Linked DNA regions of Ovis aries. The protein of the gene in region 1 purifies or fractionates together with the protein of each later gene. This does not show direct contact. Links are inferred from orthologs where the notes say so. Each region holds a gene or a part of one and is shown on either strand. Other genes may lie near its edges. The genes, in order: MBIP, ZZZ3 and KAT2B.

Region 1 (2,805 bases):
AATAAGAGAATAAAAGGTATGTGTGTGTGCTGTGCTCAGTCTTGTCTGACTCTCTGAGACCCCATGAACTGTAGCCTGCCAGACTCTTCTGCCCATGGAATTTTCTGGGCAAGAATAGTGGAGTGGGTTGCCATTTCCTTCTCCAGGGGATCTTCCCGACCCAGCGATGGAACCCACCTCTCTTGAGCCTCCTGCATTGACAGGCGGATTCTTTACCACTGCACCACCTGGGAGAAGGCAATGGCACCCCACTCCAGTACTCTTGCCTGGAAAATCCCATGGACAGAGGAGCCTGGTAGGCTGCAGTCCATGAGGTCGCTGAGAGTCGGACACGACTGAGCAACTTCACTTTGACTTTTCACTTTCGTGCATTGGAGAAAGAAACGGCAACCCACTCCAGTGTTCTTGCCTGGAGAATCCCAGGGACGGGGGAGCCTGGTGGGCTGCCGTCTATGGGGTCGCACAGAGTCAGACACGACTGAAGTGACTTAGCAGCAGCAGCACCACCTGGGAAGCCCTAAAAGGTATGATCTATTTATTTAGATTAAATTGACACTTGGAAAAGAATATATGCACTTAAAATTCATTTCAAACTTTTACTGAATGCCTATTATGTACAAAGTACTGTTTTAAACTAAAACTGGTTAACATCAATGTTAAAAATACAAAGTCGTCTTAAACATCACTATTCAAAATAAATCTTCCTTTCTGTGATAAACACACATACACACAAAGATGTACTTTCTAATTAAGGTTTTCAATTTTCAAAATACCTCCTTTAAAACAGAAGGGAATAAATTCCAACAATGCTACTTTCAACGCATTAACTATCTTAAAGTATACTGGAATATTTGAAGACTGCTTGCAACAAAATGGACTCACGTGAAAATGAACCTTGATTTCAGAGGTAAGTCTACTATTAATAAAAACACTGCAATTAATTAAATAGATATGTAAGTTACACACATATCTAAAAAAATAAAATGACAATGAGAAGGAGAGGAGTTTTTCATGGAAGGTGACGTGTCCCCATGGATTCTGTTTCTCTTGATTTTCTGAGCAGAGCTTGTTTGAGGGCGCTAATTTTCTCATCAAGTTCAGCCAGTGAATAGTTCTGCTGTAAACAATAACACAAATTGCCGAGTAAGACTTTTAATGAAGGTAACCTGCTAAATGTACTATATAAATACATAAAATATCCAAAAGCATGGTAAATAACTCTCATGAGAATAATTTTTAAATTGAACCATATATGTTGACTATGCTATAAATTTAAAGGCATAAAACAACAAGGCTTAAGTATTTCTTACTTTTCGTAATTTCTTAATTTTCTAATGACTAAGCTATCTTGGACCTTTTCTACTTTGAAAGGGTCATAAAAACATTTTTTCAACTGCCTATTCTCATAGTCAATAGTAAAAAGGAAAAGTTTTAGTTTAATTGGTTAAAGTAACTGGGAATTCTCTTTTGATAGCCAAGGTAGTTGATTGCAGTTAATCTAAAAAAAAAAAAAAGTGGACACTCAAATTTCAAAGTTTTACAATTAAAAATAGAAGGGGATCAAGATTGCAAAGGATGTGGAGCTCACCTCCGCAAACAATCAAAATATACATGTGGAACAACTATCACAGAAAATTAACTGGAAATGGCAGAATTATACAACCAAAGCTGCAAGAAAGATCTCTACGAAACCAGGTAATACAGAAAAACCAAACATCAGGTCAGAACTTGTGCCCCTGGGATGGATATGTAAGGAAGAGAAGGTTTCCAAGGGAGGAACGCTGGCACTGGGGAGGGAGCAAGCAGGCTAAGCCATAATCTGGGAATTCCAGTCCTGGGGTCCTGCACAGGGGCGACAAGCCCCCACACCTGCTGGGAAATCCACTGCGACAGACAGAAGGGCTGGTGAAGCCTAGACTCTACAGCGAGGAGCACTTGTGCTGGATTCCCAATAATCATGGTGCAGAGAGCCTCGCACTGGCAGATGCTGCCTTGCTAGATCTCTCAATCTAAAGAGGTGAACACCGCCAGCCTCCTTCACTCCATACCACAGCCTGCTAGATCTGGGCCAAACAAACACTGGGAAAAGACTGTTCAGCTATGCAGAAACAGAAAAGGGTGCCAAGAGTATGACTGGGGTGGGAAGGAGGTGGCCACTGTCAGAGCACTCAGGAACACAGTGGTTTGTCTCCCAGCATGTCCACTCCACACTGCAGCTTAGAGTTGAGCTTTGGGCACTAACAGAAGAGCCACAGAGAAAGTCCAAATCCTGGACAGCAGAGCAGCCACCTCAGTTCCTACACTCACCATGCTCTGGCCTCCTCCATACCTTTGCACTAGATCTGGGACAAATACAAAAATAAGCCACAATAAAGGAATGAAATTTTGCCATTTGCAACCATACAGATGGACCCGGAGGGTAATATGCTAAGTGAAGCAAGTCAGACAGAAAAAGACAACTGCTGTATGATAACACTTATATGTGGAAAAAGAACAAACTACCAGTGGGGAGAGGGAAGGTGCAAGATAGGAGTAGGAGCCTAACAGATACAGGCTTCTATGTACGAAATAAGCTACATTGACATACTGCACAGCACATGGAATATAACCAATATTTTATAATAACTAAGTGGAGTATAACCTGTAAAAAATAATCTATTAAATGTTGAAATGATAATACTGGATAAACATAAAATTTTAAAGATTCAATTAATACAGTAGTACTGTGAACAGGGGTGGACTAAAGTTAACTTTGCCAGACACCTTTTTTGACTTAGATGCTAATTAGCGGTATCTGCAGAAGGA
Region 2 (4,379 bases), on another chromosome or scaffold:
TTCCACAAAATAAGTAAAATGCTCAGACAAAATGATCTATTGAACACAATATTAAAATGCTATTTATAAAGAAAACAGAAGGAAGTTTTCAGAAATGAGATCTATGCTAAAAGACTACCATGTTATCAAATACAAATCTAAACTATTTATAAGGCATGGTAAAAGATTATTATATTCTACAAGCAGGATTTGATAACTTTCATCCAATATATAGCCGACTCTGACAACTGTCAGAACAAAAATATTAAAAAGGTTCCTTTAAATAAGTACTTTACACAGTCTAGATATCTGGTTGTGATAATAATTCAAAAGCCTATTCTGTAGAAGTAAAATTGATTAACTCATATATATGTCTGTCTTTTACTGCTGCTGATCATATTTATGATAAACACTTTTGTTAACAGTTCCTTTCCTGATTTAGACAAAGTGAGCTCCAATTCTTTTGTGTTACTGCCCAGAATACAGTATAGAAAATCTAAGCAAAACCGTGATTAATCTGGACAGTGAATTCTTCATTTTAAAAAGTACCTTTATGACAAAGTTGAGAACAAATAGTATTTTAAGATAGTCTCCCTATAATTTAGAATTAGGAAAACCCTTTCTCAAATGCTTTATGTAAACTATAGAGTAGACTGACTCTTGCTAATAAGACAATTACAACATACAGTTAGCTGTCACAGTACTGACAGTAATACTTCTCTACATCACAAAAGTCAATGATGATGCATAAAGCACATTTTTTAAATCAAAAGTTTTAACTGGAAATTATAAGTAACTAAGATAAATGTAGATTTGCAGCCTGCCAGATTTCCCTTATTTGGATGATGTCTATGTACTCATTAATTATTCTACATTCTATGGAAGGCATATACAATTCATAATGCTCTATAACTATAAATCAAAGTATACTGGGAAAACTAAAGAGGTTTCCATTTTATAAATTAACTCAAATGATAAAAAACTTATGAATAAGTAAAACACTATCAACCATGTTTCCACATGTCTAACTGAGATGTGTGAAATCTCAAAACTATAAAATTACATCGCCATTGAGAAGACTACTAATAAAACTGGATTTTACTTTTTTTTTTGAAGATTTTTTAAGAGTTGAGAATATCATTGTGTGAAACCCAAAATTTCAGTTAAAAGCATTAATTTTAGCTATAATAAAAATGCTACAGACATTTATGAATAGAGACTAAAAACTTAGGGAATAATAAACAAAGCAGAATTCATGGTTACCATATTTACACATACTCTTTGTTGTGTTTCAGTGCCACATGATCTGATTCAAAGTAATAAACATCAGGATCATCATCTTCCTCTTCTGTAATGTGCGGATTGGCACTCTCTTTGGCAGATGGCAAATGTCCAATATTGAGTCTTGCCTCTGAGGATGGCTTACTTAGTCCTTCACTCCCATAATTTTTAGAGTCACAACATACGCCTTTTTCACTGTGAGAAACTTCACCAGGATTTGTGAGAGACTCACTTATATTATCACTAACAGTTGCATTTGTTTCACTGGGATTGAGATTATTCTCCTCAAATTGTCCATTTTCTCTGCAAGGAGAATTGTTTTTAGTGGGACTACCTCTGGTAGGGGCTGCCCTCCGTGGTGAAGTTCTCAGAGTATACCGATGTTCTTGAGGTTCTGATAAAGACATCATTTGAGTCGAAACACAGTCTAGAACAGAAGATGGTTCTGGTTCTCCGGAGACTGGCATACTCTCAAGACTTGTGTCCAGGGCATTATTGGTGCTCTCATTACACTGCTCCTTTGAGGCACTGCTATCTCCCACCACATCTACTTCCTCCTCAGAATCCCTTAAAGATGAATGAATTTCAGAAAAGGGGCCTGTAGCTGGCTCAGTAGTCAGCTGATTAACATGTTCCACCGGCAGGCAGGCAGTTACTACTTTGTGGTCCTCCAACTTGACCTGCACTTCTGAATCTGTGCAAGGCACGTTATGGTTTATATAACCGTCTTCCTTCCTACTATCAAGGAACATTGAAGCGTGGGTATCCGAATCCCCATTTTCAGCTACTGATTTCTCCTGCAACACATAGGAACCAGTGCTATTTTGTTTAGTGTTCCCATCAGGCTGACAGTCATCACAGTTTATAACAGCTGAATCACTGTCATCAACACCATTGACAGCCAAATAGCCTGTGATTTCTTCAACTACTGTAGAATCAAGTGGCCCTTCCTCACTTACATTCACCTTTTTAATTTCCCTTTTCTCACAATCATCCAGTATAAGACATCGACAAGCTCGTTTAGTCCCTTGAAAATCTGCATCATTGTCCACTACTGTACGCCTCTGTTCTACTGACTCCTTGTCTGATTTTATAGGTGAATCTTCTTCTGAACTGTTTGGTGCTTCAGATCTAAGGCAACGCTTAATTCTTTTTAAAACTGGTGAAACAGGTTCTGTTTGCCTTCTCTCACAATTTTCTACAGCCTGCCTTTCTATGTTATCTTTTTCTGAAGAAGGAAGTCCTCTTTTCCTAGGGCTTACCCATGACTCTCGAGCATTCTGCTGTTTTATATCAGTAGTTCTTCCATTATTATTTCCTTTCTGAATTTGCACAGGCTCTGGTCTCTTCTTTGGTGATCTTGATCGTACTTGAGAATGAGAAGAGATTTCTTCAGGATGAGCAATGCTACGATTCCTTAAAGTTCTACCACAAAAAGATTCATCCAAGCCGTTTAACCCCACTGTTGATCTTGTAACACGAGTAGATCGGGAAGCAGCCATACTATGGCAAGTCCCTACAATACGGTCATCATGATCCACTCATTGGGAAACCTTCAAAAACGTAAACAAAATAATGAGAAAAAGGTAATAGTTAATATCCTAAAACAAAAGTATAAAACTATAACTTTTTAATCCAGGTATAGCCAATATTAATAAATAATGTGATATAATTTATTTTATTAACATTTCCAAAAGTGTTAATAATAGCTAACAATTATAAGGCACTTATGTTTTAGGGATCTCTATGCTTTAAATACGTTAACTCACTTAAGTCTAACAGCAATTAGAATAAGTACTTATTGGGACTTCCCTGGTGATTCAGGGGCTAAGACTCTGCACTCCCAAAGCAGGGGGCCCAGGTTCGATCCCTGGTCAGGGAACTAGATCCCACATGCAACTAAGACCTGGTGGAGCCAAAGAAAGAAAGAAAGAGAAAGTACTTATTATCACTCATACTTCATGTATGAAGAGACTGAAGCATATACAGTTTAAGTAATATGTCCAAAACCACGCAGCTAGTGAGCTCTTCACCCTTCTCACTGTGTATCTGTTTCTCAGATATTCAGGGGCAAAAGGCCCAGAAAGATCCCTCTCAAAGACAGGACTTCACCTTGGTTATTAAAATAATAACCTCAAATTTATACAACAGCTATCACATAAACTAACCCAATCACTTCTCATGTTTTCTCAAAACATTTCTGGGAGGTAAAAAGACAGGCTCTGCTCTTTCTAATTCACTCTTACGAAAATGAGTTTCAGGTCAAATCTTTTGATAACAAACTACATGGTACCTAAAAAATTTGGATTGCAGTAGAATTTTCTGTAACTAAGCAGATGGATAGAAATCATAACCCTAGGTTGTACTGAATACTTGCTAAGAGCAATACAGAGCAAAGTCAAGACACCCTAGTCTCTAGAAGTAGAACTACAAATTAGCAAGTGAAAGGAAGTATTCTAAAGAGGATAGAAGAAAAAGGGAAAGAAGCACACCCGCCAAACATGCACTACATTTAAGAAATCAAGAAGACACATATAACCCATTTTTTCCTTCTCTGAACTCCTGAGTATATGTGTATGTCACAGTATTAACGCATGTTGAGGATATGAGCAGGTTCGTGTGGATGTTCTGCTGTTTCTATTGATATAATACAAATGAGCAGAAAATAGAATACTGCCCTGTTTTATCCATCTTGATAAACTGAGTGATTTAGTGATTATTTTCCAAGGTTCTCCCAACAAGCAGAATAAAGAAGCTATTAAGAATCCAAGTCTCCATTTTTCTGCACCTGTTTAGCCTTCAAAACATACTTTGTCACTTCACTGCCTAACTTCCAATGGAGTGCAGGATGGACAGACAAAGCAGCCAGTAATGGGTGTAGGACATAGCTGCCCAGGACCCTCTTCCCTCCTCCCTTTTGCCGGCCTTCCCACAGGCTCACTCTCCTTTAACTCTCCAAATGCCATTCTACCCCCTCTCCCCACAAATCAAATACAGTCTCTCCTTTGCCTCAACTCAGTAGTATAACAGTTAGAAAGGTTATTAGGAACTACAGAAGATATGGCAACATGCTACCACATACAAAAAAAAAGAAACTGTCTTCTTGTTCCTGCCTGCTG
Region 3 (3,653 bases), on another chromosome or scaffold:
CAGATGGGCAATCTGGATATGGGCTGTACATTAGGCCAAGAGTAACATCACAGACTCGATGGACATGAGTCTGAGTGAACTCGGGGAGTTGGTGATGGACAGGGAGGCCTGGCGTGCTGCGATTCATGGGGTCGCAAAGAGTCAGACACGACTGAGCGACTGAACTGAACTGAACTGAATATGACTCTAAGCAAACTTTTTGAGAAAGGGCCAGGTGACAAATATCTTAGGCTTTGTGGACGTACTTCGATAAAACTCTATTTATAAAACCAGAAGTGGACAGGATTTGGTGCCCAGGCTGTGGACTGCCTATCCACACATTAGCTAATACTGTAATCCAGCTGAAGTTTCTGGTAGTGATAAGTACACTGTGGGAATGCAAATGAGCAGTCTCAGTCTTCAGAGACATGTGCAAAAAACAGTAAGGGGTGAAACGTTACAACATCTGTATCTACCTCTGAAATGGCTCCACACGGTCACAGCAAAGGGAGACAGAGGGATAGTGAGCGTGGCATGCAAGCCGTTTGTGAGTCTAAATAAAGAGCCTCTGGGTCTTTACCACGGAATGTTTGCAACATTCATGAGGGTTTAAATTTTTCAAGATAAAAAGTTGAAGCAGGAGGAATGCCTTCAATGGCGGAGATTATGTTTCCCCACAACACGGCCGTCATCAGCAGAATTAACCTCTCATCCGCCTGCCCGCCTCTCAGCCCTGAGCATCCAGCAACTCCGCCCCACCCCCGACAGCGCGAGCGGCTGCGGAGCCCCGGGGCCCACCCGCGGGCGGCTCGCGCGCCCCCTGCTGACCTCCGGCGCCAGCGTCGCCGCGGGGTCTGTGATGGCGGACATGGCCTCGCGGATCAGCTCCGGTGGGATGTCGCCCAGCACCCGGGGCTTCTTGGTCTCCTCCAAAACATGGGAGTCGCTCATTTTCCTCTTTTCTCCTTGATGACCAAAACAAAAGGGCAAACGATGGGTTATTTCAAACACAAAGCACGTGCCGACTAATCCAACCGATTTTCTAATATCACTGAAAGGTGTGGACATCAACCCCCCCTGTACCAGGGAGAAGCGGCGCGGCAGAAGGCGGGAAAGAGGAGGTAACTCTTTTCGCAGGAACTGCCCACCATTCTTTTTTTTCCCACTTTCTTTCTTTATTGGCTGGGCAGCATGTGGGACTTCCTTGAGCAGGGAGTGAATCTCTGCCCCCTGCACTGGGACACAGAGTCTTAGCTGCTGGCCCACAGTCCCCCAAGTGCCCACCATTCTGAAGAGCAACTGCTCTCTACACTAAGGTTCCAACTTGACATGTGAGCTATTAAAGCGCAGCCTCTTCATGTGCACACTGAAGGCTGAGTCTAATTACCACTGGCTGTTAATCTCCATGTTGGAGACTAATTGTCCCTTTGTGGCCAGAAGAATATGGTCCTTATGATAACAAAGGCCAAAACTGCCTGAAACGCGAGTTATGACCTAAAACTTGACCAACTGTTTGTACACTAAGCATCTTCTGACAGTGTTGTTTGTTTGATCTATGAATTAATCAGAGATGTTTCTTCAAGTGTTCAACTTCTGGTGGGTCGTTTCTCCTTGTAGTTCTGGAAAGTCTTTCATACATGTGCATGGACGTGTATGTGTATGTTGTGCAGTGTATATGTGTTGTATGTACAGTGTATGTTGTATATGTGTGTGTGTCTACATATACTGGAAATACACCCATGAACTGTTTCACTTTGCTGGTGAATTTAATTTTTGTCATTACAAACTGACCCTCATGATCTCTCCTAATCCTTTTTTGCCTTAAAATGATGCCTCACAAAGTGAGCAGGGCCCTGGCCTTGGAAGCAGGCACATTCATTCCCAGGATGTCACAATGTATCACAAGCTGGGAAAGGCCCGGCGAAAGCAGGGAGAAGGCTCTCCCACTCTACTCCTTAGATTACCTGGCTGCTTTCTGTCCTACTGGCATGATGTCTGGTTTTTTGTTTTCTTCCCGTTCTGTCATAATTTATTTATTTTTACAATTAAATTTTTAAATGCTCAAATCTAATTTATTCCTCAGGTGTGAATTCCAGTAAGCAGGCTCCATACAGCATTCGCTCCATCTTGAGCTAAACAGCAGCAGGGCAACGTCAAGCATCTCGTCCATACAAGTTGCTTTTCCAAATGAGGCTTCTTACTAAAACAACTTTTGTTGAGTTCGTGTTTTTATAACTTTTTAGTTGTTATTATTGGAGGTGAGTGAGAATATTTTCCTTCATTTGACCAACGCTTCAAATCCCACAATTCCACCAGAATAATGGTGTGAACTATTTATTTTGGAGCTGAGACTTATACCCAATATGCTCCAAACTTGATAGCTTGCTGAGTGCTGCAATAAGAAAGCACCCTGGGCTACATCCGAGTTCAACGGCAGAGCTTCTAGAATGATCAGCAGCGTCCCCCTTGGAAGTGGCCCCAGTGCTGCCCGCTTAGTCCTTCACAGAAAACCCTGTTCTCTCCCCATTTCATGACACCTCTCAGTGTCAAACTTTGCTTGTGCCAAGATGTGTCTCATGTCACGGCTGTGGACACAAATGCATCCTCTGGAACATTCTATAACTGCGAAACACCTCTAGCACTAAGAGATTTTTTTGCCCATGTGGCAGATTACATTCACGGCCAAATTCTTTCCCCTCCTGCCTCCAGCTTCTGCCATATGATTCTGTGGCTCTTCCTACAAAAGGCGTCAAGGCCATCTCCCCACCCCTTGACTCTGAGTCTGACCACGTGATTCGCTTCCGATGACAAAATAAGGCAGGCGTCACGGAGCACCAGCTACAAGCTTAAGCTGCAGGAAACTGCATTTCTGCCTGCTTTCTGGTGCCTCTGCCATCATCATAAGGACGCATTCTGCCCCAAGGAAAGGAAAAGACACCCGGTGGTCCTCAAAGGAGGACGAGAACTATGCAAGCACAGCCTGTCGGAGTCGAGCCTTATCAGCCACCTCCTAGGCAGCACACAGAATGAGTGAGCTGTGACGATAAAGGATCACAGTTTGAGACTCTGCATTTCAAGTTGGCTTGTTACACAGCAATAACTAGCCAATGCAGCCCAGAGGGAGTTCCAGCCATTAAGATCCTTGACACGCACAGCACGCAGTTGACTTAAGGCTCCCTTTGGCACTCCTCAGATAACGGAGCTTCTCGGGAATCACAGCCCTCGCTGGTGCCCTCCGAGCTTACCTGGGTTTGCCTCAAGCCCGGACGCGCCTCGACAGGATGGGCTGGTGCTCCCTCCGTTCTGCTGCTCAAGGGAAGCGGAACTCGAATTGTAGGAAACTGTCCCGGCCACAGGAGGTGGACTGATAACTGCCCCCAGGAGAAGGAAGAGAAGGCATTAAATGCCGTCTTTCTTGGGTAGTAATGAACCAAGTGTACGCGAGAGCATTCCATTCCTGCCCAGCACCCGAAGACGTCATCTCTAAGACAGAAGCCATGTGGCCAGTGTGAGCTTGATGATAAAGACAAGGGTAGTTACAACCCACTGGATAAAATTAAGACATCTGAGTCCAAAGTGATAAAATAAGAAATGAACAAATAAGTAATGGAGAGAAGGTAAAACTCTCCTTACAGGAGAATGGGAAGAAATAAGGGAGCAATGAGGGAAGGTGG

Evidence for each region.
Region 2: the proteins of MBIP (region 1) and ZZZ3 purify together in Homo sapiens (affinity purification with mass spectrometry; 4 studies listed by BioGRID and IntAct, counting the BioPlex papers as one, with this or other methods). This does not show direct contact. The link is inferred for Ovis aries from reciprocal best matches to the Homo sapiens genes MBIP and ZZZ3.
Region 3: the proteins of MBIP (region 1) and KAT2B purify together in Homo sapiens (affinity purification with mass spectrometry; 4 studies listed by BioGRID and IntAct, counting the BioPlex papers as one, with this or other methods). This does not show direct contact. The link is inferred for Ovis aries from reciprocal best matches to the Homo sapiens genes MBIP and KAT2B.

The regions. Positions count from the first base shown.
Region 1 is NC_056071.1:44,223,028-44,225,832, forward strand, and holds the end of MBIP (MAP3K12-binding inhibitory protein 1), read right to left. Parts: intron 1,696-2,805; exon of another isoform or gene 1,118-1,695; coding exon 1,010-1,117; 3' UTR 583-1,009; downstream 1-582. UniProt on the Homo sapiens protein: Inhibits the MAP3K12 activity to induce the activation of the JNK/SAPK pathway. Component of the ATAC complex, a complex with histone acetyltransferase activity on histones H3 and H4.
Region 2 is NC_056054.1:54,078,780-54,083,158, forward strand, and holds the start of ZZZ3 (ZZ-type zinc finger-containing protein 3), read right to left. Parts: upstream 2,814-4,379; 5' UTR 2,763-2,813; coding exon 1,258-2,762; intron 1-1,257.
Region 3 is NC_056054.1:278,352,713-278,356,365, reverse strand, and holds part of KAT2B (histone acetyltransferase KAT2B), read right to left. Parts: intron 3,351-3,653; coding exon 3,225-3,350; intron 945-3,224; coding exon 808-944; intron 1-807. UniProt on the Homo sapiens protein: Functions as a histone acetyltransferase (HAT) to promote transcriptional activation. Has significant histone acetyltransferase activity with core histones (H3 and H4), and also with nucleosome core particles.